4 linked regions of the Styela clava genome follow. The protein of the gene in region 1 purifies or fractionates together with the protein of each later gene. This does not show direct contact. Links are inferred from orthologs where the notes say so. Each region holds a gene or a part of one and is shown on either strand. Other genes may lie near its edges. The genes, in order: intraflagellar transport protein 88 homolog, intraflagellar transport protein 46 homolog, intraflagellar transport protein 81 homolog and intraflagellar transport protein 57 homolog.

Region 1 (7,015 bases):
TATTTGCACTCGCGGGAGTTCTATCCCCTCTACCGCTTCCTCCTCTACGGCCACCACTGCTTGCCCGTTGTTCTCTCATTTCTTTCGATTTTTCTGCTTTTTTCAACTTATTTGCATATTCTTGAAGCTCGTTTTGGAGTCCGAGGTCAACGCATAACCGGTTGATGAATTTCAAACACTCTACATTGTCGGGAAATTGGTTGTGAATCGATTTGTATTTTTCAAATGCAAGTTGGTAATTTCCGCTTCGTCGGTAACAGCTCGCAACCATTAATTGCCATTTTACTTCTTTAGGTTGTATTACAGCAGCTCGACTGTAATACCTCACAGCTTTTTCATAAAATTGAGATTGAATATAATAACCCCCCAGCCAATCGAGAGTTTCAATATCTGCAGGAAATAGTCGATACGCATCGTAACGATATTGAAACGCCTGCGACAAATCAGCATTTGTGTCATCCTTTTCACAAATCTTTGCAAGGTGTGATAAAATGCTTGGATCCGTGGATGCGATTCCGACACACTGCATCAACCATTCTTGAGCCTGGCTCCAATCTTCCATATGCTCATATAATGACGCAATATGATACATGACTTGAGAATCATGTCGCATTATGTTGTGTAATTTCAAAAAGCAGTCGAGAGATTCGTCCAGACGTTGTCGCTGTTTATACAAAAGTCCAAGATTGAATAAAGCTTCATGACACGATGAATCGTTCTCTAAAGCCTCTTTGTATAGCGTTTCTGCTCCGCTTACGTCTCCTTCAGAAAGAAGGCAGTTCGCCATGTTTGTTAACGAAGGAGCATTGAATCGGTCTGCCTTCGTAGCAATGTCTGCGTATCTCCGCGCATCAGCAAGGTTTCCTTGCAAATAATAAATAAATGAAAGATTAGTCGCAGCTTGACATTTGACCTGCGTTTCCTTTTTCTCGAATGTTTTTAGAATCTGAACAGCTTGAGGAAAATCTCTCTCCTTCAAATACATTAGAGCTTTGTGAATTTCTAGATCATTCGCCAGGTCAAGGCATGGTGAGTTTTTAACTTGGTCAATACACCAATCAAATCCAGCAGCGAAGGTATTTTCAACAGCAGGTGCGATGACTTTTGCAGCGCTTAAAATGGTCCATTCAGCTGTTGATCTTTGCTTGCGTTCAGCTTGGCGAAGCAAATCATTTTTGATAGCATCCAAATACACGCTCTCTTGCGTATTTTCTGGGTTTGTTGTGTATTTATCTTCATCATCAATTCCTAAATTAACAGAAAGCAATTTCTGAAAAGCTTTTTTCATCTTGTCACTATCACCGAGCGCAAAATAACAGAGAATCAAATTGAAACCTGTTCGGAAGTTCGGCTTTTCAGTCATAATATGTTCATACGACGTCGCTGCTTCATTGTATTGCCCCATTTTTAAAAACACAGCTCCAATATTTTGCATGATATGAATTCTCATATCTTTATGAGTGTTTGGAACCTGATCAAGAGCCATGCGATAGAATTTAATCGCCTTCATATATTGCCCTTGGTTGAAATATATATTTCCCATGTTGACTTTGAGGCGACCAGCATTGCTGAACATTTTATTTTTTACAACTACGTTGTAAGTATTCAAAGCTTCAGGGAACATTTCGTTTGCTTCGTATTGGACCGCAAGATTGAATAGAACAGAATATGTTAAGTCAAGATTTATGTTCTCGCTCAGACCGCTTTGCTCTCTTTGTCGTACGAGCGCTCGCTCTTTACGACCGGCATCTTTCGCTTTGTCAAGTGCAAGGGTGAGGTTCCCTTTACTTTGTGCAACAACGCTTTCCTCAATTAGTTCTCCAACTCGCTTTTCGAGTGCTTTTACTTTTTCTTCTGGTCCATTTTCTGATAGTGGGTCAAGAGGAGGGGCAATGCCACCTGGTCTATCTTTTCCTGCCTGGCTTAATGGATCAAAAGCAGCACCTTTACCTAAATTAGATGAGAAACCTGCTCCGGCGACGGAGGTCATAGGTCGAGCGCTCCCATCAGCAACGGCACCCGTAACCGGACGACCAAATGATGAAGGTGGAGGAATGGCATTTCGACCTAAGACTGGATTCGCGCCTCGTAGTGCCGTCATTGGAGGTCGTCGTCCGTGACTCGTTTTTACAGCGTTCATAAAACCTTCATCCTCTGCCAGATTTGCTGTGTCATACATAGGATTATATTCGTTGAATCCAGAATACAAGTCATCATTTTCTTCTTCCGTCGCGAGTCGAAGATTATCTAAATTGAAACTCATTTTCGATGTCCAGCGTCAAACAATTGTAATTTAAATCTGAAATGTAAAATGAACATGGGAAATCAAAATTTTGTCATCATTTTGTATTGTTAAAAATCACTAAAAAACAGATGTCCAATGGCTGAATGCAGGAATGGTGTCCAATAAAAATCAGACACTCAAAGAATAGAGTTTAAACACATTGTAAAAATATTTCTATCTGGAAAATCTTCTTTTAATTATCTGTTTAATTCCGATAATCAAAATTACTATAAATTGTAAAATCAGACATTTTTACAGGGCAACATAATTGCAATTTATATTAAAATTTGGCACATAGTCGGATTACACCACAAAATCTTAGTATTTTGATATACCTATTAACTTCAATACAAAATTATGGATACCTGTTTAAAATTTTTGCCAAATTGTATAAATATAGCAAACTTCTGGTCGCAAAAAAAAACATTTAGTAAATTATGTGGCATAAACACTGGAACTTCTTCTCCCCCGGGATAAATACCGGTACAGAAATATGTAAATCCTATCCCATCCTAACTGCCTAATAACTGAACAACGTAGCTACACTTTTATAGTTGGAGACTATTAAAGTTATAATATCGAACAAAAAAAATTAATTTAGCAACTTACCAGTATTCTACAGATTTTTAGCGAGTTATATCGGAATAGAAAACTTGAAAAACCAAATATTATCTCCGTACAGTTGTTTACTGTGTTGTATTTCAGTATTTGTGAAGAAAACCTTTCAACACTAGATGGCTACATGTTTCTATGTATTCCGTATTTATAGCGGTTGCTGTGTGTTCTGGTAGAATGGTTCAATGAGCATATATACATGCTCATTGAATGGTTACATTCCTAAAATGTTGGGGCGTTTGATTTTTGCAAGTTTTCTGATATTAACAACTTATACAAAATTGAAAATGATCATGGTAATTATTCATAAGAACGAAACAAAAGTCATAGATAACGAACGAAAAGCTACAGTACCTAATATTTATCCAGTAAATATTACTTTTTCCAAAATTTAGCAATGTAAAAATATTTCCGAAGTGCCAAGCAAAAAAATAGACAACCGGTTAGAAAGAACAAAATATATCAAGGCCTTGCCAAAAAAAGGTAGCTGTCAAGGGAGAAGCATTGTATATTGGTCACCGAGCAAAAAAATCCTCGTTTCAAAAACTTTACAATAAGAAGGGTAGGGTAGAATTTAAAAAAAAAGTCTTGTTGTAGGGGTGGACTGAAAATGTGATTACTCATGAACCCAGAGCTATTATGAACCCTTTTCTTTTTTTTTTTTTTTTTTTTTTTTTTATTATTAGATTTTCATAAAATAAAATAATATTGAATTAATCAATATTAGAAGATAAATAATACATTCATAAAAAGTAATATTTCACACTGTTTGAAATTGTAATCTAATAGTATGGTATGAGTGAACAGAAGATTGGAGAAATTTCACATTTTATCTATATACTATACAATCAATTACTAAATAAAATTATATTGAAATAAACAATATCAGTAATACAGTCATGAAAAGTATCACAATGTTTGCATTCGCAATCTAATTATGTTATTAGAAAACTGAGAAAATCTGACATTATATGTATATACCATACAGGGGCAATCATTTAGCAAAAAAAAATCTCACATTTTAGGTATATACCATATAAGGGCAATCATATAGCAAATAGAATAATATTGAAATAACAATTTTTAATTCAGCAATACAGTTATAAAAGGTAATTTCTCACAATGTTTGCAATTGTAGTCTAATAATGTTATAAGAAAACAGCAACATATCACATTTTATGTATTTAAGGAAAGAAAAACAATAATATGTAATTAAATAGCAAAAAGTCACTTGATCGACTATTATATAAATAAATGCCACTTTCTTTTGTGTATCAGGATTTTACTATTTTTCATTGCTATATATTTCTCGTTGTCACGAATATCACGAATAAATTTATAAAAAACATCAAAAATTGGTTTTCGTTTCTGGATCCGGCATCTATATATAAAGAAGCGGGCAGCCAATAGTACACAATTGATGAATTGTGCTGCCATCGTGTGTCGATAAAAAAATGTAAGGTCAGAGGGCGATAGAAATATCGGGATTTTGAGATTGTGTTCTGGGAAATTTGTGGCTAAAATTGTTTTAATTCAATTCAGCAAATAGAGTCGTTTTTATGTGCAATATTGATTAATCCGTTTTATGTTGTGTAATCACGTGACGTAACAGTTATTTATGTTTTGGTGCTTCTTTGGGTTACCGCAATCAGCCAATCATCAGGTTCCGTTTCACTGTTTCAGGGTTTAGTAAACAGTTCGCAATTTTCACATATTCCCGCATTACCGCTTTGTTCAATATGTTTGAAACAAATTTGATGTAATTTCGATTATGTTACTGTATTACTTGAATGAATGTTTTGTACTTTTTAGTTACAAATATTATTTCAAATACTGAAATATTTATTTATCTCATTTCGGCCTTTTAAATATAACGTTAAGTAAATATAAGCGGCGGTGTGGCAAAGGGCTAAGCATTAGGAATACGCTCGCCAACGCACCTATAATTACTCTGCGTGGGTTTGCAGGTTCGAATCCCATGCAGGGATGGTTATGTGCGAGAGGATTGCTGGACTCCTCGTCGTCGTTGGGTGGTTCACATAACCGCTGGTCGGTTACGGCTTCCTCCACTACCATGCTTCCGAAAAACAAACAATATAACTAATCCCATACCCGACTTGGAATGGTAACCGGACGAGAGGCCGTGGTTCGCCATATGGATAAGCCGTCTTATTCACTTTCCTCTCCCCCGGGATAAATATGTAAATATAAGTAGTTACTATGATATTTCGGGTCTGGTATAGTTTAGTACCAACAATTTTTGCATATGTCAATCCTAACCCCCACCTTATCGTTATGCTACACCCACTAAAAGTATGTCAGGTACGAAAATACCCATTGAGACCCATTTTTTTGTCAGGACAAGGTTCTAATCATTTGTCCAATTATTTTCAGTTAGTGCCTTAGTTCACCATAAGTTAATTTTATGTGTTTGAAGATGGGATATATCAAGGTGTCATTGCTACTTTTCTGTGTAGTTTTTGTCACAGCACATGACAGAAAACACATGTTTCAAACTCATTCTCTCGGTGCACAATTGAAGTTTCCTCCTCCTTTATCTGGCAACACTGCTCCAGGGAGTACTTGGCCAAAACCTCAGCAGATGACAATCCATACAGCGGTAAGTTCTGTGTATTTTAATTTTGAATCTAGCATGGCTTGTTGATTCAGAGGTTCGAATTCAATGGCACACTGAATTATCATTTTTCTCCTCCGTGATTAGTACGAAAAGTACCAGCACAACACAGTTCTCCGATTTCAAGAATAGCCCTCACATTAAAGAGTTTAAACATGAGAGAGGGAGTGCAAACCCCAATGTCATGAGACAGTTCGGTGCCTCCATATCACCACAAAATCAGTAAACTGGTACTGCGCAACAGACTAAAAGAACTAAATCTGAAAATGTCACTATTTCTCAAAAAAAGTAAACAATGTGATTCATCGGAGCAAAAAAAGTTCACCCTACCATTTAGGTTTTTTGCAAAACACAGTTGATGAGAATGAATTATGGTCTGGTGCTTAACTGGTTAGCTATATTCACTCTTGACATGTTTAAAAGACATACCAAATCATAATTCTTCACCCCATGCTTAGTATTGAAAATACTTTATAATACAGGATAAAAACACCTGTTTTTTAAGTTGTATGAATCTTGAAGTTGTATGAAGCGTGATTATTTTATACGGTGTCAACAGTATTTCAATCGAACAAGGTTCTGCGCAGGCATATTTGCTGAAATGCCAGTTGTTCAAATATTCTAAATCATTTCAGGGGTCTTACTACTTACTGAATACAGCGCGAAACACCGCAAAGAGCGCAAAACAGCGCAAAACAGAGGAAAACAGCGCGAAACAGAAGGAAACCAGCGCAAAACAGGAGACGCAGTCATTACCACCTCCTGCCATGTAAGAACCACGGCGCCTCTCGCCATGGTTTTATGGCGCTATTTCCGGTATATTTACAAGGTTATGTACCGGATTATAGGTCATCATGCGAAATTTTATCTACCTTTTTGGTGCTCCAGAAGTATGTGCAGCAATATGTCGCACAACCTGAATCCGCTACACACACACACACACATACTATTTTCAGGTTGTGCGCCATCTTGGTGCACATACGGTTTTGCGCTCTTTCGCACTATTTTGCGCTGTTTCCCTCTGTTTTGCGCTGTTTCGCGCTCTTTTGCGGTGTTTCGCGCTCTTTGCGGTGTTTCGCGCTGTATTCAGTAAGTAGTAAGACCGTCATTTCAGAGTTAAAATTAAAATTATGGAAAAAATGTATTTTAACTTTTTTTAAATATCTATAATATCTTATTTCATGAAAACCTAATCCTTTGGCAAAGTTGAATTTTAATATCTTTCATCTAAATTTTACGATATATTTTAGGTTTATCCGGTAGAAGTTGGAAACTTCGTGTTCACCTTGAATCCCTCAAGTAAAGTTTGTCCGATTATTACTGAAGCCTTCAAAAGATATCAAGAAATTATCAGAAAATATGCAGTGAACACTAAACTACATTTATTTCAGTAGGTTGATCCTTTTATGATGAAAAAGGCTGAAAGTTTGAAATTTTGTGTTTGGAAGAGTTAATAACTGAATTGCAAATGCAGTTCTTCA
Region 2 (7,526 bases), on another chromosome or scaffold:
TCACGAACCAACATGTACATTGTACAGAATTAAAACAACTATTCTTTTAAGTTCAAAAATTATTATGTGAATATGTCTCATTTTTTTAAGTTCGTTTTTATTAAGTCCCTCACTCTGAGCAAGGCTCTGCACAATTGGTCTCTGCTAGGTAAAAAGCTACCATTGTTTGAAAGAATAGGAATCTTTCCGGTTTGAGATTGCCAATCCAGTTTAATACATCTCGGGAGAGGGTGCTCGGGCAAGGGAACTCAAGATTTAATCCGCGATGCCAACATAGTTTTGGGGCCAAAGCTTCAACCGTTAGGCCAGCAATGTTTTTAGGTGAGGCCCAAATAGTAAAATAGAAAAGGTCCCAAGACTCTATGATTATGTTGTTATGAGAAGTTTATGAAAATTTTAAATTTAAACATGTAATAAACTTGTTAAGGGACATTTTATTTGTTTAGATGAAATGAAAGTAATGTATACACAGATCTAAATCAAATACACAGTTTGACAGAATGTCATACGATTTAACACGAGCCTGACAATCAAAACATATCGAGTATTTCAATATACTTATTTCACTCAATATAGTATAATATATTAAAATTGATTTATGATTTTATCTGTTTTAAGTATATCAAAGGTATTATCTACATAAATTAAAAAGAGTTGACACGTTTACAGCCAGGCTCTTCAACAAATTATGCAAGTCTACTCAAACCTGACCTCTTTCTTTAATTTTGCATCTTGCTGTAAGTTATTTCTTTTTTCCTCAGATTGTTGTCTGATTTGTTCAATTTTCAATTGTTCAACATGTGTTTCATATTCCTAGAAAAAAATGATATATTTGATCACTGTACAATAAGACAATAAGAAATTTACATCTTTGAGTCAACCATATTTAAAAATAAAATGACAATATTTGAATACCTTGACTTTTGCTTGAAATTCAATTTGTTTTGTGTGTTCTTGATGTTTCGAGAGTTCCAACGCATCTTTGGCATGAGCTGAACAAAAGAATTATCGTTGCCATAAATGCATAAATGACAACTCATTTGGATATTATAACTTTGGATTAACTGTCTTGAACACTAAATAAATAAAACGACAAAAACAAATGTACAAAATAGAAGAGCAATAATTGCTTCAATGTCATGATTAATGCTATTTTTTGTGAAGTAATGATTCCTAATTTTATTTTCGAAGGAATTTAGTTCATCATTAAAAACCAAATTGGACTGAAGAGTACAATAGTAGAACACTTAATCCAACTAAGAACCAATCCAACTAATATTTCATATGGGCTGACACAAATACTGATTAGTTATATTACTGTATTAATAAATTATAATTTATGTCATAAATGAAACTCATACAAGATGCATCCAGCTCTCTGGCAGCTTTTGCTGCTCTCTCCAGGCCAGTCGGATCAAAACTTGACCATTTATCTCCAGGTTTGAGTCCTGAATTGTCATTTTTATCAGGTGGAGTTGGTGGTGTAGGTAAGCTGCCAGCATCAAACTTTACATCGGGAATATCTGCAGATGCACCTTTGCTCCCAAAAAATTTGCTTAATATTGAATTGTCCATAATTTATTTCTAAAAATGAACATTCAATACCTCACTTTCCTAGTTAAATTTTTGAAATATAGAATTCTATTTATAGGAAACCTGGAAAATATTTCACTTTAACAAAGCAATAAAAATACACCGCTGCCATGAAATCAAAATACAATTACTTTCCAGTGTTGTCATATGGCAGCATATTAATGATTGATTGACTTGACTATTTGCTTAATTTTGAAGAAAGTTCACTTTCAAATTGAATTTATTTTTTTTAGATACATTTTGAAAAATGTTCTTTAGATAGAAAATTTTTTTTCAACTTCCAGGGAAGGTCAAACGGGACTGCATTAAACTACTCTAGCCATTGCACCATCCTCTGCTAAAGAGCGTTAATGGGATAAAATATTTCCTAAAAAAGTTTTTTCAGTATGTGTGTTTCAAAGCAGCACATGGGAAAAAATTCAACAGAATAACTTGATATATACTACAACAACCTTCCAGGCAGTTAAAATTCAAAACTTTGTAATATGCAATTTATTTTGTGAATTTAATCACAAAATCACACCTATTTATAGCCCATGTTCAATATGTACATCTTGATCTTGAAATGCTGTAAAGCAGGGGTGTCAAACCCGCAGCCCCGGGCCGCATGCGACCCCAGGGAGATTCCATTGCGACCTTCGAACACTTAACAATTATTGTAATATTTGGTAATTTTTTTTTATCTAAATGAATGATAACACATTTTTCAAACATTTCAAAGTGAAATTGATTTTTCACACAGAAAATGACAATTTACAGAAAATAGTTTTACAAATTTTTCAGTTATCATTTGACCCAATTATTTTGGTACTGTAATATCATTTCAGCTTTATATTAGTAAGCTGGTGGCCCGAATGAGATGCCAAACGCCAGAAAATATGTAATAATAAACATTGGTTTATTCTGTATTTTTGTAAATTTTAGGTCTAAATAATAAGATAAATCATTTTCAGTCTATGTATTATTTTTTTATTATCGAAAATATTTTTAAAAAATGTTTTGGATAATTGTATATAAAAATTTATAATTTTTTGTAAAAAATAGCCTACAGTGAATAACAATAATAGTGAAATGCAAGAAATTAATATGTAAATGGCATTTGAAATTTAGGAAATATTCGGCCTATCTAAAAATATACATTATCAACATCAAAAACTGTTTGCGGCACAATTCCCAAAATGCAATGCCCTCCAAAACCCACGAGTTTGACACCCCTGCTATAAAGGATATGCCAAATTCTCAGGTTCTGGGTTCATATGTTTTATTGAATGCTTGTGCCTATATAAAAACAGCATATTTCACTTATATTGGTATTTATATATGGGCATTTTTCATACTGATCCTTAAGATGACATCTCTTAAATGGGAAACCACCGCTTCTGACGCAGTAATCAGAATTGGTCTGGTAGGGGAACATCTATTACGGCAATCTTGAAAGCCACACAGACTTAAAAGGAGGGAAAAAGCAGGGACTGACTGTGATTCTACTTTTGAGTCGCTCTAACACTGACATGGGCAAACTACGGCCCACGAGTCAAATCCAGCCCGTTGAGTAATTCAATCTGGCCCACCTGATGCTGCCACAACTGCAAAACTAAACTAAAACCAAATTTTTGATGTTTTAGATAAAATAAAAATCAAGAAATTTGTCAAGATTGCCATTAAATTTAACTTCATCACAAGCTAACAGGGCTCATTGTTGTCCACTTTTGCATCACTGTAAATATCGTTCAATAAAATGTAAATTTTGGCCCCTGGTTCAAAAACCTCGCCCATCCCACCCCTGCCTAACATCTGAATAACCAAACCCATACATGCCTATTAGCTTCTTGTATTCAATTTAAGACAAATTATAAGTTTTTTCATTTTAGGGTTCGCATCTAAAGAGTTTCATATTTTTCGATGGATTCATCCAAACACTGAAATTACGCAGCAATTGCGTCATTCATCACTCGATCATTTGCGATGGCGCAAGCCTGTCTGCCTGTGAGCGACGATGCTCTAAAATTTGAAAACATTCCAGTAAAAGAGCTAATTTTAAATGATTGGTTCCTACAAACGAACGCCATTACTGTAAATGGGGTCTATGAACGATCACGAAAACCTAACATATCAGACATTAATCCACGTACCGCCGTACACATAACAGCGGGCCTATCCCAAACATATTCATAACCTGCACAGTACCAAAGTGACAAGGGCACACGTGTGATTTTGAGAGATTGTTAATACGAGAGTTCATTAGAGCGTATAAGTATTTTCAACAGCTACATTTAAGTAGTGATACGCATTGCTTAATCTCGTCCATCTCCAAGACACCACTGCGAAGCTATTGTCGCTCTACAGATATTGTAAATGCTTTGAATCTGTAAACTCAGAAACTAGTAAACGACAAAAATAATGTTAGTGGAAAGGGTTTATGAATGTAAATGTTTCGCGATCAACCCATTTCTTTGTTTATCACGCAACAATGGTGACGTAACAATCAAAAATTCATCACTTCCCGGACTCTTGCTTTAACATCAGAACATCGAAGTCTCGATTTAAACAACTTTTTGTGAGCGTCGACTCGATTTCGCAGTTTTATTTGTCGGTTTTTAAGTGTAGACTATACGGTATACGCTATGGTCATCGTTTATTCGTCTAGTCGTGGGAGAGCGTTGATAAGTGATTGCTGCTGGGTTGTAGCTGATTATAATTTTAGTGCGATAAACAATAATCTTTTGCCAGTTGTAGACCTATGGTATTACATTTATCAAAATCAGGGTTTCTATTAAATTTATATTAACCAAAGTCGTCAAATTGAATCCAGATAATAAAATCCTTGTAAATTCATGTGTTTGTAGTGAAATAGGTATCGAGCTAAATTAAGGGATGAATGTTTTGGTACCTAAACGGCTAAATGAAACCGTGAATTTCACTGCCCAAGTTTTTTATTTTAAAATATAAGGCTAGGCTATAGTCCGATTTGGTGTTTAATGAAATTTGTAACACCCTGGTGTTCTATATTGCATTCACTAATAAATTTAAAAGTCAAAAGTACAAGTTTTCTGCACTGCTCAATACCTTAAACTATTGTCTGAACAAACACTTTCAGCAGTCTTGATTCATTTATTTGTTCGTAACATGGTACATGGCTTCAAATGACGAAAACACTAAACTAGTTGTTAATCAGCATTACGACGAAAGCTTGGATGTGAACGATTCTGAAGAAATTGCCAGTTTATATAGCCCTAGCCCAAGAAAGACTCCAACACCGCTTCTGCAACCGGGACCTGAGAAGCCAAAATATAATAAGATGTCATCACAAGATGATGATGATCAAATATCAAATGAATTTGGAGATAACGATGCCACTGATGGTTCTCCTGGTGATGTTGCTGATCCCCAAGCTCAAGCAAGGTCTGGGACATCAACAATGAGCGAAGGAGATTCTTCAGAGGACAGCGACTCGTCTTCTGGTGATGAAGAAAATGGAACAGCCCTAGAAGGTGCTTATGATCCTGCAGATTATGAAGGTTTGAATGTAAGCGTGGAGATAAAAGATTTGTTCCAATACATTACTCGATACACACCTCAAACTATTGAGCTTGAGCACAAATTAAAACCATTTATACCTGAATACATTCCTGCGGTCGGTGACATTGATGCATTCATAAAAGTATCAAAACCTGACAATTCATCCAGTTTACTTGGACTCACTGTATTAGATGAACCATGTGCAAAGCAATCAGACCCTACGGTTCTTGATCTGCAGTTGAGGAGTATCTCAAAAATGTCTGGTATAAAGGCAATGCAAGTTCGTAGTCTCAAAGATGCTCAAACCAATCCCAAATCTGTGGAATCCTGGATTGAAAGTATAGAAGATTTACGTAGGACAAAGCTTCCACAAAATGTACACTACACAAAAAGCATGCCAGATATTGAACAACTCATGCAGGAATGGCCTCCTGAATTTGAAGCTCTTCTTTCTAAGGTTCGACTACCATCTGCAGATCTTGATTGTGATTTACAAAAATATATTGACATGATATGCGCCGTGTTAGATATTCCCATATATCCAGGCAATAAAGTGCAATCACTTCACGTTTTATTCAGCCTCTACATGGAGTTCAAGAATTCCCAGCACTTTCAAACTGCTAGTCCCAATGAACATCATGATGTGAACGAGCCAGATGTAATGACTTTTGATTAATGTCATATAATACTGCATCAGGTGCTCCTTTTTTCATTTGCAGCTTATGGAAACAGTTACTGTGACACATTCATTCAAATTTGTCCCATTGAACTGCGCTAGTAACTTAGTCATGATTTATAGTATATTTTTGTATCGAATGTTTCTAAGTGTATATATGTTTTAGATAGTGTTCATCACTGTTATGTATGATCTCTCACTTCAGACTTTCATAATAATTCAATATAACTGTTACCACTCTCTCTCCAGGGATGGCCATAACTAAATACTTTGCTATTTCGAATACATTCTAAAGTTCCCCTCATATTTTATTCACTTTTCTGATAATAATATCATTGTAAAGCAGCACAAATGGAATGTGTGATAGTATTGAAATTAGTGGTTTTCTTGCTTCTAAGAAAAAAAGACATGATAAACATACAGTATTCACACCTGTGAATGGTGGTGTATCTTGGTATTCACAGAAAAAAGTGCAACTATTCGTCTAGTGAAATGTTTTGAATTCTACAGAAAAATCAAAGTTAATAACAACACACACACTTTTGTTATAACTTCTGACTGTTTATCGTCAGCGTATGTGTTATTTATTCCACCAACATAGTTAAGCTAAATTCAGCCACAGTTATCCCTCTACACAAAAATTAATTGTTGTGCAAGCGTGATCTTTAAATTTTATTTTGCTCCACCATTCGTTGATTCAGAAAAACGCAAATGTTATTACGCAGTCATTGTCATAATTAAATGAGTGAACCCAATTTCCATCAGCTAATGACAAAAAATTAGGACTGAAAATCGTGTTTTATTTTTTAGTAAGCGCTGATTCAAATCTTTCATGTCAGTTGTTATGCTCCTAAATTAAAACCGCCTACTGAACAATATTATCATCAACGACAACGGGATAACGTAAAATCCCCGATACTAAATAATAGTTGAGAACTATTTTCTTCGCTGTAAATTGCAGCAATGTAAAAATTTCCTGTTATGTTCGGTCACTATCGAAAGTGAGTATGAAAACAATTAATTCCGACACAATTTGCTTTCGGATTTTTTGCTGTGGCCGCACAAAGTATCTCGACTAAGTTGAAATATACGATACTAATTGTAAAATATTTGAGACATTTTATAAGCCCTAATTTAAATCTATTTATTGGCACGTCACACAAGTCCGTCTTGATTACGATAAAAAGTAATTGTAAAATGTTTTCAATCAAATCGTTGGCGGTATGCTCGGACTGGGTCATCATGAACATCTTTATATAGACCTCTACCACTCTGGCCCACAAATAAATACTCAATTTGACAACTCTCTGATTTGTAAAATTTTCATGCTATTTTTCTAATACATGGCAAAAGAACTTAAGTTTTTAACTATACTTAATTCTCCCACCGGAAGGGTAAATGGTTAAGGATAGCCATTTGTGTACTTGTCATGCATCTGATTTTTGCACCACTTACCCAAAACATTAGGTGAAATTGCTCTATAATCAGGCTTATAATAAGTAGGACCGTCGCCATACATCTGATTTTTGCACTACTTCCCCAAAACATTAGGTGAAATTGCTCTCATAATCACACATTAAGTAGGACCGTCACCAACCTCTTGTGCTCTGATATCAATTGTAATAAAAGTGAGCGCCGCATCGCTAATTCTGCAAAGAGCAGACATACTCTCTTAGGAACCCCAAAATGAATGATATATGATGAATGTCTGTATCCCTACGACACATGTGGGAATAAA
Region 3 (7,116 bases), on another chromosome or scaffold:
CTTCAATATAGGCGTGTTTGAATATGTACAATTTTGCTAGGAAGGGTTCCCAACTATTTAGATAATAAAATCTGAACTTGTTAGGGTTAGCCCCCAATTTGAAACAACATTGCATTCAGAGTAAAAACCGAAAAATTCACATTCAAACCTTGCACTCGGTATTACACATTTCCAAAACCGGGAACCAAATAAGCATCTAATTAGATTCTTGGTAAATTAAGACGAATCTTTTGCTAGCCTTATGCATGGTGATCAGAACAAATTTAAATCACATTGCAGTAATAGTGAAAATAAAATAAAATTACGAATTCATTTTTGTTACCAATATTAAACACTTTCTGAACCAGATATCAGAGAAATGTCTACAATTTATAAATGTTAGCTCATTAGAAGATTTTGGGATAAATCTTGTACTGGGCCGATGACATTTTACAACAGTCAGATAAGCAACACAAGGTTAAAGGCTTTGAAATAAAATTATACAAAAAGGCTAATATTTCAACATAACTTGACATGCACAAAGTACTACAATAATTTGTGTACGGTATCTAATAAATCCCCCCATACCCAGAGCAGAGTGTAATGAATTGATGCTGAATCAAAAAAGAATTCTAGTTCTTGTAAAAATAATAGTTCCTTTCATTCCTTTAATTAGGGATTCAATAATCAATAATAGGTCTTTAAACCAAGAGTCAAAGGACATCAGCAATTCTGGAGATTTTTCATATTGCCCAGGCTATGTTGCTTTTTACTATTTTCATTGTCTTAAAGTATTTGTTGAATTCAACATCAAAATACGATACCATAATACAAAAATTTGAAGCTTATATAGGAGTAATGTACCGTCCCCTGGGCCCAATATCTTCTCAAAATACAGTCATTTTGATGAATAATCCTAGTTCATCATCTTTTTAGCACAGTCCAATTTACATTGCATTATTTTATCTAGATCCGACCACATTAACATTTGTTTTTGATTCTGATCGTGATTTTCACGAACTTGCTTCTGAGATTCACGAAGTGCTTTTGCTCTATTTTCTTGCTCTTGTATCTTTTTATTGTAAATCTCTCGATAGGATTTCTGTTTATCTGCTCCAGTCGCGGACATGTACGTCCGTAATTCCTTATTTGCTCGTTCTAATTGGACTTCGATAATTTTATTCATGCTTTTCAAGTAAAAATATCGGCTCTCCGTTTCTGAGCAGAATTCTCGTAATCCTGTAACTGTCTGTTCCAATTGAGCACGGTTTGACTCAAGCCCGGCAAGAACTCCATCGTAATGCCCCTTTTTCTCAGTCCATTCCTGCATCAATTCCTGGTTCTTTTGACGTAAAGGTCGTAGTTCACGGATCTGCGGGGCAAGGTCAGATTTCTTGTCTTGGATGATTGAATTAAGACGTTTTACGGCATCTGACATGTCATCTAAAGTACGATGTTTTGCGTCATCAAGTTCACTTTTCATCGACGATACTTTTTCCAAGTCATCTTGGGTATCACGAAAACCTGAAACTCCACTTTTAAGTTCTCGAGTGCGGAGAGTTTTTTGCGCATCTTCGTGTTTTTGTTTTAGAAGCTGTTCAGTGCGAGAGAGAACACCATGCTCTGCTCTAAGGTCTGATAACTCTTGTCTGGACTTTTTGTAATTGTTACTTTTTCCACGTAACTTTGAAACATAATTTTTAAACGCTTCTCCACGGAGAACTTCTCCCCCCATTTCAGTAAGCTGTTGTCTCTTTTTTTTAACATCACTTTCCAGTTTTTGAAACTCTTCTTGCGTTTCTTGCAATGATTCCGACACAGTCTCTTTCTTATGTTGTAGGATCGAAGCTTGTTGGCGATACATTGTCAAATTATCTTTCGCTGGGTAATTTTTGACCATTCGTTGTTCGACAAGACTGTTGATATTATTTTTCATGTCTTGAATATCTGATTCAATCCTGTCCAGATCGTTTTGCGTGATCGCAGGCTCCAATGCAACTTGTTGTAAACTCTGTAAAAACTTTTTCCGACTTTTCATTTCTTTCGGTAACTTTTCATCGATTAAATATTTATTGACACGGTTGTCTTCTTCCATTCTCCCAATTATCGATTCGGGGTTTGCGTTCGAGCCAGCCTGTCGTGCGTCTTGGAGACTCTGTCTAGCGTTCTGTAATCTTTGTTCGCTGAGTTGTAACTGACGTCGTTGTTGTTGTATTTTTAACTTCAAATCATCTGCTCGTTCTTTTTCTTTACGCATGTTTTGTGCAGTGGATAATGCTTCGCTAAGATTTGGAAATGTTTCAACTTTTTTACGAAGTCGAGTTACACGTTTTGAAAGGTTTTCTTTCTCTTCTTCCATGGTGGTAATATCGCTGCGGATTTCACCGGTACCATGACTTTGTTTTTTCAGATCAACGTACTCCTTGTGGCAGTTCAGAAAATGATCTTGAAGTTCTTCGTACCGATGCCAAGCCTCTTGCATTTGTGCATCCGAAAAATCTTGAACAAATTCAGGAGGAAGCTGTAACTTCACCAAAAACTTTGCTAAGTAGGCACGAGTTTTCAGTGAATCCAGATTTGTCAGGAGATAAAATAGAATTGGGCAATAAACTTCCTTTTCCCCCAATACAATTCCTTGTCGAAAACTTGAAACATCGGCATTTGGAGGCGGTGAATATTTCAGATTTTTCAAAGCATTCAAAATTCGACCTGCTCTAGCGTCCGGAGCTTCTTCCCGTATATCCCCTGCATGTCTGCTGTCAATATGGGCTAAAATATCATTCATCAACTGAATAAGCTGCTCAGATCCAAGCGAATGAAACGCAATCGCACTAAGTTCCTTCTCAAAGGGCTTCTTATTCAATATTTCAACAATTTTCTTCACTTGATCATTCATTTTTGTTGTTAATTTCCAAAATTACACATAGAAACTTCACAATTTGTGGACGCTATTCTGAGAAAAACAAGAACGCGTCAACGAGAAACGTTCAGGAATGCAGGTTGCTAACAAACATAGAACGCGGTCAAGGGTCACTGAACAGCTATAATAAATAATTCAGAGTCTTCGATGCACAACGGTGCTTAAATGAAGCGGTTAATAAGGACAGTGGAAGTTTCCGCCGGGCATCGATTTCCTGGTTTATTTCCGTAACCATAAACAATCAGCAACAAGTTCACAATACAGTAACGTGAAAATTGCAATTTTTGAACCGCTTAGAAACTAAGTTAGTTCAAATAAATATTCCGCAGGCTGAAAGACAAGTCGGCTAAAATGGGTATGTCCGCCATGTTCATACTGAAATAGCTATGTTCCTACCAAAATGGCTATGTCCCCACTAAAATGGCTATGCCCGCTATATTCCTACTAAAATGGGTATGTCCCTACTAAAATGGCTATGTCCGCCATGTCCATATTAAAATGGCTATATGTATGCTATGTCTTTACTAAAATGGCTATGTCCGCCATGTTCATACTGAAATGGCTATATGTCCCCGCTATGTCTTTACTAAAATGGCTATGCTCGCTATGTATGTATGTATGTTTATTCGTCTCGTAAAAGCAATATAAAAGAGTAAGTAATTATAAATACTGAAGACGGGATGTATGCACAAGACCATATTGGCCTAAAACACAAATGTGCGGCATGCACCCCTTTTGATATATGTTCCTACTAAAAGGGGTATGTCCCTACTAAAATGGCTATGTCCGCCATGTCCATACTAAAATGGCTATATGTCCGCTATGTGTTTACTAAAATGCAGTGGCAGCGCGTGGTCATTTTGACAACCGGGGCAAGCTACTGCGGGACCAAGTCACCCCCATCTACGGGGACAGGATGAGCGCTGTAAGTTCTCCCATCATTTCATGAGTATAAAAACCATTCCATCGGTAACAACCAATCGGCAAAAGCGACAATTTTTAACGATAAGAAAGTGTCTTTAAAACCGGTCCAAGTCAAGGGATTAATATATATAGACATTGTTTTTGAAACCTCTTTCAAAAGGAAAGGCAATATTTACCCAGATAAATACAATGACATATTAACAGAAACTTCGGGAAAGCAGACAAAACCTAAAATAAGGTTTAAAACGTTACTACGAAGAAAGAAAAGATAATGCAAAGATAAGGACATGCGTCGCTCACTCATAGATATATATGCTGCTAGACTTCTACTGCTTGAACATATATGCAACACGCCGCGGTTTCTTGGAAGCAAAATGCTCAATAACACGCTGATTAAAGTCATGCATCCCAGAAATAACGTCTCTGTGAATGGATAAAACAGCCAAGGAATTTAATCTATCTTGCTTCATTGTGTTTCTGAGATACGTTTTAATACGCTTCAGCGTGCTGAATGTTCGCTCTGCGTCGGCGGAAGAAATAGGCGTCGTCAAAACGATGTCCAGAAATTTTGCAGACGCCGCAATGGGAGTTACTAGAGTGTTATCTATGAGGAACCCATAGAGCGCGCAAGTTGATGTGATGTTCAAAAAAGTTTGATTGGTGTATATACATCGCAATTCATTTTCCAATTTACCCACGTTTATCATGGGGTAAAATTTGGAGACAGTAGCCAACAAATGGATGGGAAATTGACGTGCAATTTTGAAAAATTTTTGGGGTTCATCAAAGAGAACGCGGCAAGGTGTTCAGTGCGCAGACGATCGCCTATTTGATTCACCAGAATGTCACAGCATTCCTTTGCAGACAAATGCAAACGCTGCGTTGTTTGCCCGCGGCGTAAAGAAGCACTCCATGTGTCGTCGTATATTATTGTTTCCCGGATACGAGATACAGCATCGCAGAAGTCTGAAATACACGACTGCACAGACGCTCCATCCATTAGCCTTGACTGCAATGCGCCGTATAATACATCCACGTGATAGAATATTGTGGAGAAAAAATGAAAACTCACCATCTTCTAGCAGACGCTTTAGACCTGCCGCCTCCCTCACAGAGCGTTCGTCCCAAACCGGAGAGCTCTGAATGCCATTGAAACATTCAATGAGCTCAGACCTAATTTCGGACACGCCCTGCACCACGCGTGATTGGAAGTTCCAACGTGTTGGTGCACAAGCTGGGAGACGGCGGCTACATATCTGGCGAAGGAGGTCAGAGCGCTTCGGCGAAACGGAAAAAAATGAATAAAAACCCCGAAACATTTGCAAAAAATATACGGACGAGAGGGGTATCAAGAAACATATTTTTAATAACGAGGTTAAATTGGTGTGCATAACAATGTAAAAAATGCGCATGAGGAAAATCCAGTGGCGGCGCGTCAATAGGGCCAACCGGGGCAATTTTTCGGTATAATAAAAAATATTCGAAAAATACCTCAATATCGGTTGCATAAGTTTGAGCTATCAATTTTGACTTCGCGTTGTAAGGCTGTAACACTTCTTTCAGTACAGCCGATATCCCGCAAGCCGTGCGATCAACGATTGGTACAAAGCTGTGAAATCTCTCGGTAGGTTTACCATCTTTCACAAACCGAAAAATCACAGCCAGTTGGGAAACGCACGTGATTTCAGTTGGCAATTCTCAATTTCCAGAGCCAAATGCTGTAAATAAATTTTATACATTGAGTCGAGCAAATCATTTTGGATATCCTTAGATGTCCCTTTCGAAACAGTTGCGGCATCAAGATGATCTCTCAATACTGTATCAGGGATGCGGTGTATTCCACCATATCCAAAAATACCCCTCTATTAGAAGAGCCAGCCCGTTCATCGTGCCCACGGAGGGACAGCTCGTGACAACCAATGAACTTCAAAACATCTATCAATCGACCGAGAACATGGCGGTTTTTCTCGACGTTTTGGTTGTGCCGACGAATAGAAACCGCGCGTCCTTCATCCAACCGTGCTGCAATATTAACATTTCCGAATGTTCGGTATTTTACTGCATTGTCCAGATGCTCCATAGAAGATTGATGATCCCTGGCACGCTCGGAAAGATGTTTAAAATCTCTAAAACCAAATTTACACCAACGTGAGTCACGGGCGGTAGCAAAAGTAGGCAATAAAAACAAAAAAGTGCATTTTTGTCCTCGCTGTAACACAACCATTCGTGTTTTTTATACCAAGTTTTTGCGCAGAATGTACGCCGACGCTTTCCTCCGTCATGGGATTGTTCCAGTGAACATTTTTTTGGTTGGTAAGGCCCAAGACGTGGTACCTCTAATTTTTGTTCCAACGGCAGCTGCGAAAACGGAGTGCGAAGTAGTGCATCAACCTTATTCATTATGAGGTCTAAGGCCAAGAAATGCGAAGCCGGAAAGAAGTGAGGAGCTTAAAAGGAATGTGGAAAATCGAAAGCAAATGGACTAAAGGTCTCTAACTGATTCAAATAGCGAAACAAGCGACAAAAACGAAGGCGAGGAAACTATCAACTCTTCAAGCAACCAACGAACGAGAAGGAATGCGTGAATATGTCAACACGTTGTTGTAAGAAACGTCGGCATTGTGTCGTCATAATTTCGGGGCTAGCCCCGATGATTTAGTAAAAGAAACAGAAAACAAACGAGACAAACGCGGCGAGTGGAAGATAAAAGAGAGAATACGATATACAATGAGCAACCGGGGCAAAATCGGCGTCGCCCTGTCGACGTTCGGCGAAGGCTTTGCGAGCGAAAAATGAACCATGTCGGGAGAATATGGCTAGTGTAGACAGTGTGTGCAACCGATATTGAGGTATTTTTCAAATATTTTTTATTATGCCGAAAAAACAACCGGGGCATTGCCCCGGTTGGCCCTATTGACGCGCCGCCACTGCTAAAATGGCTATGTCCGCTATGTTCCTACTAAAATGGGTATGTCCGCCATGTCCATACTAAAATGGCTATGTTCCTACCAAAATGGCTACGTCTTTACTAATATGGCTATGTCCCTACTAAAATGGCTATGCCCGCTATATCCCTACTAAAATGGATATGCCCACTATGTCCATACTAAAATGGCTATATGTATGCTATGTCTTTACTAAAATGACTATGTCCGCTAAGTCCATACTAAAATGGCTATATGTCCGCTATGTCTTTACTAAAATGGCTATGTCCACTATGTTCTTACTAAAATGGCTATATGTCCGCTATGTCTTTACTAAAATGGATATGCCCACTATGTTCTTACTAAAAT
Region 4 (7,186 bases), on another chromosome or scaffold:
TTACCTATGATAGGATACACCTGAATAAATGGAAATTATCTAGATGACAATATTTACCTTCCCCACTGGAAATTACTTGACCTCAATGCTTCTTCAGTCAAACGATCAAGGATATAACAAACATATTCTCCACATCCTTGCTTCAACTTGGATGGTGGAAAATCAATCGCGACTCCCTGAAAATTTTCAAGAAAGAATAAAAAATCACAAATACAATATTTAGTCTCTCCACGATTGAAAATGTTTAATTATGATTTAAAAAATTGTTATACATACCATTCGTTTTACTTCTTCCAATATACTTGATATAGTAGCATTGGGATCATCAAATTCTTGTGGCATGTCAAATGGACGACCAATGATGTTAAGAAGCCAGGCAGAAATTGAAGTGAATGCATGAAACTGTTCACCAGGATTTGTAGGGACCGCAAAATAATGTCTGTGAGCAAACCAAAAGATGTCATAAATAAAAAGAGACAGATGGCTTGTATTCAAAAACTGAAATATGGTTCGAACAGCAAATGTACAATCATTTTTGTGACTGCTGTTAGCATCATTGTAAATATTATACAAAAGTATGTGTGAAGCGAAATTACAAACTGAAATTTTTGACCCACTTTATAAATTGCAATACGAGATTACAATTATCACAATCTTTTATTTTCACCGTCAAAAAACCCTTTGAGTATTGACCAAAGATTTTCTGAAAGTCCCCACCCATTTCATAGCTGATAATACCTTGTTAGAGGTTTCATGTTGTTTGGCCTCATGAAATTTTCCTCAAAATTTAACAATTTCAGCTTATCCAGCAAATCTGACATCACTTCAAATACTTGATATGAAGCACCTGTTAATTGGAATGTAATTAGATAAAATCGAGATTATTCAAATTCAGGATTTTGTACATGGACCCTTAACCAAAAATTTATACCCAACATGACTAATAAAGTAAAGTTACCGTACTACCCACATCTACAGACCGACAAGTAGGAATGTTACAAAACGCACATTTTCGCAATAAAAAATGTACGCATCACTTCTGCTAGGTACCGTTACCGCCATACTTGAGTACCGCATATAAAAACGGCTACGGATTGCCAGCGATAGTTAGTGTTTCCATGAAATTTTGACATAAATTAGATAAAAAACACGACTATGACCTTGTTTTTGAATTTTTCCATTAGCGCAAATATTTCCTATCATGCGAATCTTTTAAAAATACCTTCCAACTTAAACGTGCTACAAATTAATGATCCCGTCTAATGACACCTATAAAATCTATAATGACACGCGTGTCTCTTTCTTAACTTGAAACTTGCCAATTTTTGTGAAGTTTGCTCGATCCGAACATCGTTAATTATTAGCCGGAACGAACCACTGTTCATTTAACATACCCACCTCCGACTTTGAATTTGCGACAATCCGCCGATGGCCTCATTGACCGTTGCCAGAATTAAATTATGAAAGAGCCTTGATATTTCATAGATGTGACGCATATCGAGAGATTAGAGATTAATATAGAATGTTTTCCACAATAAATAAAATTCTCTAAAAAAAACAGAATTTGCAAGCGTTTTTCGAAAACGCTACGAAATATTTCAAGACACGTTTAATACTATCTTAGCGTGAGTCTGTCAACTCGCAGATAGTTATCGACCGAATTGTCGACATCATCTCGGGCGCTGAATTTTCTCGTTCTGAGTTTTCGTAAACACAGTAAATATCTTACGTGCAGGTAGATTTTAAATTGTTCAGTGAATACAGTCAGATATGGAAGCTTTAAATCAGTTTATTGACTTCGAGAAATTAAGACATTTTCTTGTACATAATTAATTAAAAAAGACTGTTATTTCATTGAAAAGAATTTGTAAAGTTGTTTTATTTGGTTTATATTTTCACGTTATCTTTTCGTTCCAAATTTCATTTGATTACCTTCCAAAATAGCGAAGATAGAAATTGTTATTTATCGGTCTCACATTCTTGCGGTCACAGTTTTTGAGCCAGCGTAATGCTAACCTTATGGAGAAAAATTGGCCTATCGGGCGGTACTAAAATGCCGATATCTCCGTTAATTCTTGACCGTTTTTCGCAAACTTGGTATTGTTTTCTTATTTTGACTTAGATCCATCCACTGACGCAGTTATTATTTACCGAATTTTTCGGCAAATAAGTTGCTTTTCTAGACCCAAATTTTCGGCCAGATTTGGGGGGGGGGTCGTCTTATTAGGCGAGTATAATAATTTTAATTTGTTTGGTGTCGCCTTATTATGTATTAGGGAATGTTCTTTTATGGTGGAAAAAATCGTGAGTTGAACACAATTAGATGAAAATTTAAAGAGTTTAAATTCCCGTAGTTATTATGGATTGAATATTACGCTACAAGAAAACGTCGTTATACCGGTAGGCTATTTTAACCAATGCGCAAACGCGGTGACCGCTCAAAGGGCATTGCATGGTAATTTGAGATTCCGATGTTGATGCGATTTTACAACCCCGACTTATTGGCAGGTTACCGGTACCGGTATATGTAAAAACCCATTTTTTTAGTCTTAAAAACGGTCCTCGTCTTATTGACCGGGTAGACTCATTCGCCGAGAAATACGGTAAATCCGATTGACTTCAAATTTTTTTTAACATACCTACGACAAGCTGACAAGTGAAAACAACACACAAATCATACCGGTACCGTACCGTACCTGGGCCACGGTCTTCATCTTCTCCGCCTCTTCTAACGTCATCCGTCATTATACTGCCACAGTGTACCCAAACAGCCCTTGAATATGAGAGGTATTTGATCACCGAAGACGAGGAAATGTACGAGAAGCCCACTTCGTTCTGGCAGCCGTATTGGACAGAAAAAACTTGGCACTTAGTTAGTTTTGATGCTAAATGTAGCGGTTAGATGGCCCGTGAATGTTTTTCTGACCTTCAACCTCAGAATTCATTCAAGTTCAAAATCACCATTTCAATTCAAAATATTTAACTAATTGACAGTAAAAGTATTGACAGTCAATTTTATATATTAAATGGACATTTCGGCGTAACCGAGAAAAGATTTGAGCGCCTTATCATGCATAGGGTTACCATATTTTTGTGACTTCAAATCGGGACGCCTCAAAAAACAATGACCCCCTAGCTGTGATTTTGTAACTTTACATTTTTCGATTTTACTACATAGGCCTAAACATTCCTACTTTCAAAGCTGTCCCGGCTGGCTTTATTGAACATATTGTTATCGAAATTTCATGCGCATATTCGCTGTCCAAATAATTCGAATTTGGACTAAGTAATTAGTATTGGTTTTACATGCGATACGTCTGCTACCAATGGGAATCAGCGGGAAACAAACGCATTCACCTTCAGTAAGTAGGCTAGCGCCTCGCTACACAGCAACAACGGTAACAAGAACATGTTCGTGTAACATGCTGGACGCAAAAGCGGGACTTTTGGCTGACCTGTCGGGACGGCGGGACAAAACGCTGAAAAGCGAGACCGTCCCGCCTAAAGCGGGACGTATGGTAGGCCTAACCATGCATACAACCTGCCAAAACTAAAACTTCTTTCTACAGTTATTGTCACAGTACATTTTACCATCAATATTATAATAAATCATGGTTCAATCAATTTGGACGTGGTCACATAACTGAAATATAATCAAGCGTCCTCCATGCCCCTCACATTTTCTTTGCGCGCTATTATCACAGTTTAGTTGTTGTACTATGGTTCATCAGATCAGGAGACCCAAGATTCGGATTGGTTATTCATTCATTTTTTTATTTTTCTGATTAAGGATTCAATCGTTTATTAAAAAAAATAAAGACAATAATGATAAATAAACATCACACATAATTACATACAAAAACAAGAGAGCTATGCTCAAATATATGGACCCGTCAAAAGGTGTCGCTATTTCTTTATTCTGACGCATAAAAAACGAATCTCTTGAAGTCCACAGAAATTTTTGAAATAAGTAAAAGTAATAGCCTTCTGGCGAAAAAAATCAATCTTTAATCACTGAAAATTTCAAAGCAATAGGTCCAGTATTCGAAGAAAAAAGCGATTTTATCACGACGAAAGAAAAACAAGAACAACAACATAATATTGAAACGATCGTTATGTACACTGACGTGTCCAACAAGAATATGCATCAACGGCAATTTCAGTTATCCAATGTTTCACCTAATATTTCCAAACAATCCATAGTGTTCCACTGTTGTATTCGCCATGTAGATTTCACCATAGTCATCAGTGAATTCAAGTCCTTATGTAAAACCGTAAATATATACTACTACTAGATGTCCAACTCCGCTCGCCCTATAATAAACAAACAAAGGCGATGTTGCACCTCCAAGTGGCGGGCGTCACGGTTGGTTTTGTTCAGACAAGATGCTTAACGACGACGACGCTCCTGCATAAAAAAACTACCCTGTTCATTGATGACTGATCGAAATATTTGCTGAAGGACGAAGAAATTTGATAAAAATGAATAAATAATTGTGAAAATGAAGACAAAGTCTGTCTTGCAAATGACCAGGATGATGTGACAACTTCCTTGTCGAAAGAAAGCAAGGCATCAAAAATGCGATGCATTGCAAAAAATGTCAGTCAGATGTAGGTAAAGTAGTGACGAAAATGAATACTTTGCACTTTATATAAAAAAAACGCTTGGTAGCACAGCATTTTGGTCTCACTCCATCTCAAGTATTGTAGCTTTCACAGTAGTTTTTTCTCCACTTGACCTATAATCAGGGCTGCCACAACGTCCTTATTTTTAGAATTTGTCCTTATTTTGAAGATCTTTGTTTTAGGAAATATTTTTGCAATTTGCTTATAATATATTAATGTTAAAAAATATTTGGCGAACCGGCAGCAAGGTTGCCGCGGACCGGCGGTTGAGAACCACTGATTTAGAAGACTTTTATCTTACACTTAAAAGGGGGTCTGACAGATGTTTGGTCCAATGTGGTATATCACATGTTGAAGGTACCAGTATTTGGAGCCCTTCATACGCTGGAGAAGCAATGAAATGTTGTTGTTTTTTAAATATGACTACAGAATGTGTTGCATGTAGCTGTATAGCATTTATTTTGTTAAAAAATCCTTGAGATAATCACCTGTTGTAGACTTTCAGTGTGTAAAATAATTAATGAAATTTAAGCTGATCTAATGCATATTTTGCTATTTGCAAAACTTGGCGTTGCTTCAAATTCAGACATCTCCGAAATCCTAGCAACAGATGCAGGAAAAAACCTACAAAGAAAAATTTCCCCAGTTCATCTGTTATTAATGACATGAATACTGTTGGTAATTTCAGAAATAATAATCATGATACAAGTATTTAATTGCTCAATAGGAGATAGAATAATACAAATGAATTAATACCCAAAACAATTCTTTGTGCTATACCTGTGCTTAATATTTAACAGACATTTTTATCGAGCTATTGAGTTAAAAATGTTGGTCTATTAGTTTACATGGCTGTTTCAAATGTTTTTTTAGACATATCTTCATAAATTCCGTCTAGATGTGTTTCCATGCCAAAACCCCATCTGATTACAGCAAATCATTCTTCAAAAGTGAGTTTCGAGACGTCTGCAAAAACTTATATTTTAGTTACGATATTTTGGAATAAATTGCCCACAACGATCGAACCTTGTCTACCATCTAAGCATGTATGTGTTTATATATAAGTATAACAGCCACTTTGACAAAATATTATTTGAAACAAAAATGTGAATACCCCACAAAACAAATTGGAATTAATAAAATGTAACGGTTCCAGGAGAAATATTAATGCATTCAATGAATGTGGTGGATTTTGCAGTAGCAAAAAAGTTATTGCTATTGATCACAAATCAATAATTCAAAAACACTCGACAAAATAATTCAAAACTTTTTGGCACATCTAAAATTATAAATATATATATATATATATGTTGAAGCCATGTTTAGATAATAGCAATAATAGATATCCAATTTATGTGAAAAAAGTTATTAGTACCAGCCTGAAATCAAGCAAAATGGGTTATCATGACAAACGTAAAACACCTCTTAGCTTGTAATATGCAGCTGGTGACTTCGTATACAATGACAGAATGAGTCTGGGAAAAAATTATCAAGATCAGTAGAACTCCATCATAAAACACTAATTAATTGAAGTTAAAATATGTGTGTTTAATTTATGTTTTTCATACAGACGTCACAATTTCAATCACCCATCAGTCAGTCAATTTATATTCTTGTTCACTGCTTTGATCACACAGCATAAATCCTCACACTGCAACTTTTTTATGATCCGAAAATACACATATCTCTTATCAAAATTTACATTCCTTGACAAATCATTACTGGGTACCTATAAGAACATTTACAACTTACTCTTTTTTTATGCTGAACAATCGTAGCACGAAGCGGCTCTCTACTAGACTACATCTACTCATGGGAGCTTTAAAGTGAATTTAAAATCTTACTGCCAATGTGCTTTCGAGTGCTGAACCGGTCCTAGGGCCTTCCCACTCAATTGATTGTTCCTCTATTTTGTTTTGTAATCTGCATTCTATCAGTTCTATAGTCAAGTATATCGTGTAATATTTCATGTGCACAACTAACTTGAATGTTTATAAGTCACTCACTTAACCTTGACGTGAGACAGCGCCGTCAGAATACAGAAAAACGGAGGAAGTCGCACGATGATTTTCGAAGCAATAATAATCTGTCAGCACCAAGTCAAGCGTGTCGGCGAATTCAACACCGGGACCAAATTTCCGGAGATACACGGGATTGGTAAAACAAAATTGCTGTCTCGATTTCTCCCCATTTCTTCATGCTAAAGGAAATTTTCTAATTCTCCTTTTAACATTATACTTGTATTAGCATTCTAAAAGGTCAATATATTCGCTCCAATCATATTTTATTTTTTACATTAAACAGAAGTTGCATGAATGGATTATAATGAAAATGAATAAATGTGAATACCGTAACACTTATTATTTTCAAGTTATTCACAATTTTTCAACTGATGTGCATTTTCTTACAATTGGGACCGCGTCCACAGGTTTCAAGAACCCTTCTAAGTATTCCTGCAATTCCCACAAGAGCCATCTTTTGTAAATATTTCCAATATATTCGGAAATCTATATCTTTTAAATAAATTTATAGCTCGTGTAAAACTGCTAAATCTTTGTCC

The links.
Region 2: the proteins of intraflagellar transport protein 88 homolog (region 1) and intraflagellar transport protein 46 homolog purify together in Homo sapiens (affinity purification with mass spectrometry; 3 studies listed by BioGRID and IntAct, with this or other methods). This does not show direct contact. The link is inferred for Styela clava from reciprocal best matches to the Homo sapiens genes IFT88 and IFT46.
Region 3: the proteins of intraflagellar transport protein 88 homolog (region 1) and intraflagellar transport protein 81 homolog fractionate together in Homo sapiens (co-fractionation; 3 studies listed by BioGRID and IntAct, with this or other methods). This does not show direct contact. The link is inferred for Styela clava from reciprocal best matches to the Homo sapiens genes IFT88 and IFT81.
Region 4: the proteins of intraflagellar transport protein 88 homolog (region 1) and intraflagellar transport protein 57 homolog purify together in Homo sapiens (affinity purification with mass spectrometry; 3 studies listed by BioGRID and IntAct, counting the BioPlex papers as one, with this or other methods). This does not show direct contact. The link is inferred for Styela clava from reciprocal best matches to the Homo sapiens genes IFT88 and IFT57.

Annotation. Positions count from the first base shown.
Region 1 is NC_135264.1:14,458,013-14,465,027, reverse strand, and holds the start of intraflagellar transport protein 88 homolog, read right to left. Parts: upstream 3,011-7,015; 5' UTR 2,894-3,010; intron 2,300-2,893; 5' UTR 2,264-2,299; coding exon 1-2,263. Other genes in the region: beta-hexosaminidase subunit beta-like, read left to right, coding at 5,325-5,519, 6,785-6,924. UniProt on the Homo sapiens protein: Positively regulates primary cilium biogenesis. Also involved in autophagy since it is required for trafficking of ATG16L and the expansion of the autophagic compartment.
Region 2 is NC_135257.1:13,329,631-13,337,156, forward strand, and holds intraflagellar transport protein 46 homolog, read left to right. Parts: upstream 1-4,512; 5' UTR 4,513-4,726; coding exon 4,727-5,788; 3' UTR 5,789-7,144; downstream 7,145-7,526. Other genes in the region: ATPase family AAA domain-containing protein 3-like, read right to left, coding at 712-813, 916-992, 1,362-1,575. UniProt on the Homo sapiens protein: Forms part of a complex involved in intraflagellar transport (IFT), the bi-directional movement of particles required for the assembly, maintenance and functioning of primary cilia. May play a role in chondrocyte maturation and skeletogenesis.
Region 3 is NC_135262.1:1,880,873-1,887,988, forward strand, and holds the start of intraflagellar transport protein 81 homolog, read right to left. Parts: upstream 3,003-7,116; 5' UTR 2,876-3,002; coding exon 896-2,875; 3' UTR 1-895. UniProt on the Homo sapiens protein: Component of the intraflagellar transport (IFT) complex B: together with IFT74, forms a tubulin-binding module that specifically mediates transport of tubulin within the cilium. Binds tubulin via its CH (calponin-homology)-like region.
Region 4 is NC_135253.1:4,226,690-4,233,875, reverse strand, and holds the start of intraflagellar transport protein 57 homolog, read right to left. Parts: upstream 3,026-7,186; 5' UTR 2,746-3,025; coding exon 2,697-2,745; intron 848-2,696; coding exon 739-847; intron 440-738; coding exon 277-439; intron 177-276; coding exon 58-176; intron 1-57. UniProt on the Homo sapiens protein: Required for the formation of cilia. Plays an indirect role in sonic hedgehog signaling, cilia being required for all activity of the hedgehog pathway.